Linked DNA regions of Sus scrofa. The protein of the gene in region 1 interacts with the protein of each later gene in a biochemical or structural test. Links are inferred from orthologs where the notes say so. Each region holds a gene or a part of one and is shown on either strand. Other genes may lie near its edges. The genes, in order: DYRK1B and HNF1A.

Region 1 (3,406 bases):
GGCCCCAGGGAATGAGGGTAAAGCAAGATAGGGGCCCTCAAGGGGGAATGCCCAGAAGGGGTGGTTCCAGGTGAAGGACTGGGCGGGCAGAGCCCCAGGTTTCTCTCAGATCTCCCCCACGGAGGTTTAGGAAAGAGCGAAAGGGATGGGATGAAAGGTCCGGGGTAAACCGTTCACTCCGTCCCTCTCTGAGCAAATTTCTAATGAACATCTGTGTGCCAGGCCCTGTTCCAGACACGGGACATAAAGCAAGAAGGAGATCAAGTCTCTGTCCTTGGGGAGTTTCCATTCTAGCGGGGTGGTCAGACCATGACCACATGGTCCTGCCTGTGGTCACGAGGAACCAGCTGCCCAGATAGGGCTCCCGCTTGAGGTCGGAGGGGAAGGCCTGGCCTCAGTGCCCACCTGGCCCCCCGCCCTCCCCCCAGGTACTGCCTGATGTGCGGCTGCTGCCGCGGAGGTTGCCCCTGGCCTTCCGAGACGCGACCTCGGCCCCGCTGCGCAAGCTCTCCGTGGACCTCATCAAGACCTACAAGCACATCAATGAGGTGGGCGGGGTGGGGGCCCGGGCTGGGTGCGGAGGGGTCCTGGCCTGCCAGCACAGGCCGCTCACCAGTCCGCATCTCCTGGCCGGTCCCCGGCAGGTTTACTATGCGAAGAAGAAGCGGCGGGCCCAGCAGGCGCCACCTCAGGACTCGAGCACCAAGAAGGAGAAAAAGGTCCTGAACCACGGTTACGACGACGACAACCATGACTACATCGTGCGCAGTGGCGAGCGCTGGCTGGAGCGCTACGAAATCGACTCCCTCATTGGCAAAGGCTCCTTTGGCCAGGTGTGGGATGACCCCGACCCCAGCCGTGCTCCAGGGCTTGGGAGGAGCGGGCACCACTGGTGCTGACCCCCACAGCCAGCGGTTCAGTGGCTTCGCGTTTCGTGCTGGGCCACTCACCAGCACGGTCTGGTTTCCCTGTGCCACGGTTTCTGTAAGAGCGCCTCAGTAACAGGCCCTCCACGTAAGGTTGTTGTGTTTTCTCATGTCCAGCGTTGACACGAGTGTCTGACGATTGGCGAGCTTGCAATTTGGAAGTATTAGTATCGTTGATGGTGGTATGGGTGGGTCTCCTTGGCTGGAGGGCGACGAGTGGTACCTGGCTCTGTGCCTCGCGCCCCTTTGCCCTCGTCTTGTGACGCGCCCTGCCCTGGCAGGTGGTGAAGGCCTATGACCATCAGACGCAGGAGCTGGTGGCCATCAAGATCATCAAGAACAAAAAGGCCTTCCTGAACCAGGCCCAGATCGAGCTGCGGCTGCTGGAGCTGATGAACCAGCATGACACAGAGATGAAGTACTACATAGGTGAGGCCCGCCGCAGGGCTGTGTGGGGATGAGCCACCCTCAGTACCCGAGGGGGCTGCTGTCCTCAGGGCAAGGTGTGGTTTGTAATCCCCCACATCAGTGATTTCTCCTGCCACCCTCACAGTTTTTACCCTATTCACATGACAAAGCTGGTCAAAGTTTATTGGGTGCTCTCTAAGGGTCAGGCTCTGTTGTAAGAACTTTACGTAAGTTTTCCACAGCCCCATGGGAAGGAGCATCATTGCCCACAGCTTGGAGATGAAGAAACAGAGGCACTTAGGTGCTGTCACTTGCGTAAGATCGAGGTGTTTGTACTCAGTAGAGCTATGATTTGGCCAGACAGTGGATTCCAGAGCCTCCACTCTAAACGCCTCTGCTGGGTTTTTTCCTCTTTCCTGTACTGCTTCCTCTTAAGAAAAAGAAAGTGGATTTAAGGAGTGTGTTTCTTTTAAAAGGAAAATGCACCTCCTTACAGTAAATGGAAAGCAAGTATCCTTTGTCACAAAATAAACAGAACTGAGACTAAAACAATGTTATAAAATTAAACGGGGAAGTGTAGGGATGGTGTTAAAGACCCATCAGCACCGAATGGAAACTTTCTCTTTGGTTTAAATCAGAAAATGTGAGAGACTTGAAAAGCGAGCTAACTTAACTTCCTGTGTGAATCAGATTATAGACATAAAAACATCCTCAAGAAACAAAACAAAAAACCTCCCAGGGGGTTCCGTGGTGGTTCAGCGGGTGAAACATTCAGCGTTGTCGCTGCAGCCACCGGGTCGCTGCTGTGGCACAGGCACAGGTTCGATCCCTGGCCAGGGAACTTGCTCCTGCCATGGACACAACCAAAAAAAATAAGTAAATGAAATAAAATCCTGGCTAGCAGAACAGTTTGGCCTGTGCTCCAGAAGCAGAGACAAAGATCTCTTTATTATTGGGTACCCCAGGCCGCCACCGGCCCTCTCTCAGCCTTAATTTCTTCTCCTTCGGCCCATTTTCGCCTCCTTGCCAACAGTGCACCTGAAGCGGCACTTCATGTTCCGGAACCACCTGTGCCTGGTGTTCGAGCTGCTTTCCTACAACCTGTACGACCTCCTGCGCAACACGCACTTCCGCGGCGTCTCACTGAACCTGACGCGGAAGCTGGCGCAGCAGCTCTGCACGGCGCTGCTCTTCCTGGCCACGCCTGAGCTCAGCATCATTCACTGCGACCTCAAGCCCGAGAACATCCTGCTCTGCAACCCCAAGCGCAGCGCCATCAAGATAGTGGACTTTGGCAGCTCCTGCCAGCTCGGCCAGCGGGTGCGGCCCGGGGCGGGGCTAGAGGTGTGGGTGTGGCCAGAGAGTGGGCGGGGCCGACGGAGGACCAGGACGGGATTGGATGGTCGCGTGCAGCGGCCCGAGGGTAGTGCTTGGGACAGGGTGTCTGCAAGTACAGAGGGTGGGGTCATTGGGTGAAGAGGGTGATGGAGAGGGCCTTGGGGTGTCCTGCCCGAAGGACAGCGAAGAGTGGAGCCCGAGAGGACGAAGCCCGGGGCCAGTTTTGAGGCTGCCAGAATGGGGGAGGGGGAGGAGGAGTTGGGTGCCTTTGAGCCTGGGGTGGCACTTTGCTCCGTTTGTTTACCTTGTGCTCTTAAAGCTGGGGAGGGAAGAGGACAGGGCTCGTCAGCTTTGCAGCTTCCGGTGAGAAGGCCTTTGAGAAGACGCTGGTAGTGGTTTGAAAGGGTCTGGATTGGAAGGGTGGGAAGAGGCTAGGTCTGCGGATTGCCGGATCCTGGTGACCCATAGGGGCTCAGGGTCAGGCCAGGGGATGGAGATCGGGATCAGACTAGGCCAGCAGAGACTCCTGAAACTGATGAGTGAGGTAGTGGCAGCAATCCTTGGGAGGTTGTGCTGAAAACATCAGGGTTTGAAGACCCCCATCCCCAGTTCTGGAGGCAGGAGGCTTGTGCACAGTCAGTCCTCCTAGGTTTGGGGGTGTCGGGGGTACCCACAGGGAAGGCTGGGACCTCTGACTGTTGCCCTTTCCCCTCCCCCAGATCTACCAGTACATC
Region 2 (3,813 bases), on another chromosome or scaffold:
TTCTGCAGCAGTCCCTAGGGAGGCAGGGTGGGGCCCTACTCTGACTCAGTCTGGCTTTCCCTCCAAGGTCTCAGCCACTGGGGGCCCCCTGCCCCCTGTCAGCACCCTGACAGCGCTGCACAGCTTGGAGCAGACATCCCCAGGCCTCAACCAGCAGCCCCAGAACCTGATCATGGCCTCACTTCCCGGGGTCATGGCCATCGGGCCTAGTGAGCCTGCCTCCCTGGGCCCCACATTCACCAACACAGGCGCCTCCACCCTGGTCATTGGTAAGCTGGTGGGGAAGGAGGGAGGCATCTGGGTGTGGTGCTCCCACAGGATCCAGGAGCTGGGAGAGAAACTGGGACTCCTTCATTCATGTATTTATTAGGGCCCACTCTGCGCTCGTCTAGTGATACACAAGTGAACTGAACAGACCAAAATCTCAGTCACCCAAGTGGGGAGGCAGACAATCAGCCTAACACGTAAATTATATACAGTGTATATTTACAGTTTAGAAGGTAAAACAGCTATGGCAAAACAGCGGGGTAAAAGGGACTGAAGTTTTCTAGGTTTTAGTTTAGGTTTTTTTTTTTTTTTTTTAAGCCCATAAAGACTCTTTGCAGGAATGGTTATGCAGAAGCTCAATATGTAAGACAGACAGGGAGCTGCCCAGAGAGGGGTAGAGAAAGTTAGGCCCCAGGGCCTGTGTACTACTGTGAAACCCAAGGGTTCGAGGGAACCTAGCTTGACACACACACTCCCCACCCCATCCATATAACGAGCCAGTGGCTCAGAGAGATGGAGCCACTTGCCAGGGCTATAACTTAGTGGCAGTTCTTAGTGCAAGAGTGTCTCTTGATCACTTCATTCCCTCCTCCAATCCACTGGCCCCAGGAGGGAGGGATGGTACCCCTGGGGTCTGGGCTGGGTCTGGGGAAGCCAAGGAGGTGGCAGAAGGCCTGGCCGACTCCTGCCCCTCCTGCTCCAGGCCTGGCCTCCACTCAGGCACAGAGCGTGCCGGTCATCAACAGCATGGGCAGCAGCCTGACCACCCTGCAGCCCGTCCAGTTCTCGCAGCCACTGCACCCTTCCTACCAGCAGCCACTCATGCCCTCCGTGCAGAGCCACGTGGCCCAGAGCCCCTTCATGGCCACCATGGCCCAGCTGCAGAGTCCCCACGGTGAGCGCCCCTTGGTCCCACACTGGGGGAGGTGGTGGGGGAGGATGGCTGGTGATAAGCTCAGGGGAAGGCTTCTGTTTAGCAGACACTGTGGCCTGTGGGTGTACAAGCATGACTGCTTCTGTGACAGGGGCTCTGCGGGTGCTAGGATGAGTGTCTGTGGGCCAGAATGTTTCAGTGTGTGAATCCGTGTGGCCGTGTGTGTGTGTGTGTGCACTCGTGCACATGTGGGTTTGTGTGAGTGTATGTGGGCGACATCCTGTCATCAAACACCGGGATTCCTGCAGCACGAGGTAGAATTCTAAGAAGGAAGTTAACATAAATTCCCACATAGCCTCACATTAGGTTTAGGTCAGATTTTGCCACCAAATGAGCTCTAGTGCCAAACTGATGAAAACTCATTGGTTTTCAGACCTTTATGGAATTTGGAATCGTGGATAAGGGATTGTGGACCTGAACATCTGTGTATTTGGTTGAGGGCACCATTTATGAGTGAATGTGGGTGGATGAGTGTTTTTGTTTTTTTTGTTTTTTTTGTTTTTTTTTACCAAGTTGCATGTATTTTAATGTAAACAGAGAGGAAATTTCCAAAGCCAGTAGGTATTAAAGTCTCCATACTGATACACTATATTGATCCTAAAGTAACAAAACAGTAAAAGTTTTAGGACAATGTACATTATCAACGAATGTTCAGTGAGTTGAATTTAAAGTACCACTCCTTCAATTTAGTAAGATGAAGACACTACACCATGAAAAAATATAGGTAATAAAGGGCTAAATAAAGGTAAATTTAAAAAAACCAAGGTCCGGAGTTCCCGTCGTGGCGCAGTGGTTAACGAATCTGACTAGGAACCATGAGGTTGCGGGTTCGGTCCCTGCCCTTGCTCAGTGGGTTAACGATCCGGCGTTGCCGTGAGCTGTGGTGTAGGTTGCAGACGCGGCTCGGATCCCGCGTTGCTGTGGCTCTGGCGTAGGCCGGTGGCTACAGCTCCGATTCGACCCCTCGCCTGGGAACCTCCATATGCCGTGGGAGCGGCCCAAGAAATAGCAACAACAACAACAAAAGACAAAAAAAAATAAAAATAAAAATAAAAAAAATAAAAAAACCAAGGTCAGAGCTAGGTGGGGCCCTAGGATAACTTAGGAAAGTGGTTTAAACTAGAAGCCTCATGCATGCTTGGTTTCACTCCAGCGGGAAGTACATTTGCTCTACTAGAGACCAAACTTGGGCTAAAGAGTGGAAATTTAGACAAGGAATTTATGATAGAAAAAAAAAATAAAGACATGCTATAGCACAAAAAACCAGACAACACAAAGGAAGCACCTCTTTTACCACCACTGATCTGTGAATCTCTATTTGCAATTAACCTTAACTGTATATAGGTTTACATTACATCCTTTTTAAAAAAATTACTCAGTGAATTTTATTACATTTATAGTTGTACAACGATCATCACAACCAAATTTTATAGCATTTCCTTCCCAAACCCTCAGTGCCTCCTCCCCCATCCCCCTCAAGCTGTCTCATTTGGAAACCATTGAGGTTTTTTTTTGGGGGGGGGGCTAAGCCGATGGGATGCAGAAGTTCCTGGGCCAGGGATCAAACCTGCGCCACTGTGGGAACCAGAGCCAGAGCAGTGACAACACGGGATCATTAACCTGCTAAGCCAAAAGAGAACTCCTGGGTGGGTAGATTTTTATCCATGCGATTTGTGTTATTTTTCTGCTGGCATCTGTGTTTTTGTGGGGCTGGGGACTGACTACAGGTGAAAGGTTGGGTTACACTGTGGAGAGGGTCCTGGAGTAGAGATATGCTGTCCCCCCCACCCCCCAACAGGGGGCGCCAGCCTTTCCCTCCAAGGTCGGTGCTTAGGACAACAGCACCTGTGCCTCTTGTTCCCTTTCACACCTGGTAATTCCACGTGAAGGAGCTGGGTTTGGGTTCCTGGACTCCCCCAGACTCCTCTCCACCAGACTAGGCAAAGCAGGCCCCTGTAGTTGGGGAGCGCATCCAACTCTTCTATCTGGAGCTCCCAGACCTGGAAATGAACCCTGAGTCCCCAACTACTGTCCCACAGGGCTGCTCACCAGGCCCACACCCTACTTTCCCTGAGCCCCCACTTTGAGGCCCTCCTGGGAGGGGTGCCCAGGTGCCATGTATATACCCTCCCCTCCCCCTCCCGGCCAGCCCTCTACAGCCACAAGCCCGAGGTGGCCCAGTACACCCACACGGGCCTGCTTCCGCAGACCATGCTCATCACCGACACCACCAACCTGAGCGCCCTGGCCAGCCTCACGCCCACCAAGCAGGTAAGGCCCAGGCTTGCCCCAGCCCCTCCCCGGGCCCTGCCCCAGGGCACAACCAGGAGGGCTCAGGAGGCTGCCTTTCCACCAGGTCTTCACCTCGGATACTGAGGCCTCCAGCGAGTCTGGGCTTCACACGCCGGCATCTCAGGCCACCACCATCCACATCCCCAGCCAGGACCCTGCTGGCATCCAGCACCTGCAGCCCGCCCATAGGCTCAGTGCCAGCCCCACTGGTGAGCAACCTTTCCTTGGCCCCCTTCCCTGATGTCCCCAAAGCTGGGGAGCAAGGTATGCCCAGCAGAGGGGGGTAAATGAGAAGGGGCACCTGTGCTCCCCCAAAGTGA

Evidence for each region.
Region 2: of the proteins of DYRK1B (region 1) and HNF1A, one has a biochemical effect on the other in vitro, tested with the Homo sapiens proteins (2 studies listed by IntAct, with this or other methods). The link is inferred for Sus scrofa from reciprocal best matches to the Homo sapiens genes DYRK1B and HNF1A.

What each region holds. Positions count from the first base shown.
Region 1 is NC_010448.4:48,308,126-48,311,531, reverse strand, and holds part of DYRK1B (dual specificity tyrosine-phosphorylation-regulated kinase 1B), read left to right. Parts: intron 1-428; coding exon 429-548; intron 549-644; coding exon 645-833; intron 834-1,207; coding exon 1,208-1,355; intron 1,356-2,367; coding exon 2,368-2,654; intron 2,655-3,391; coding exon 3,392-3,406.
Region 2 is NC_010456.5:40,882,090-40,885,902, forward strand, and holds part of HNF1A (hepatocyte nuclear factor 1-alpha), read left to right. Parts: intron 1-67; coding exon 68-269; intron 270-970; coding exon 971-1,162; intron 1,163-3,350; coding exon 3,351-3,472; intron 3,473-3,557; coding exon 3,558-3,702; intron 3,703-3,813. UniProt on the Homo sapiens protein: Transcriptional activator that regulates the tissue specific expression of multiple genes, especially in pancreatic islet cells and in liver. Binds to the inverted palindrome 5'-GTTAATNATTAAC-3'.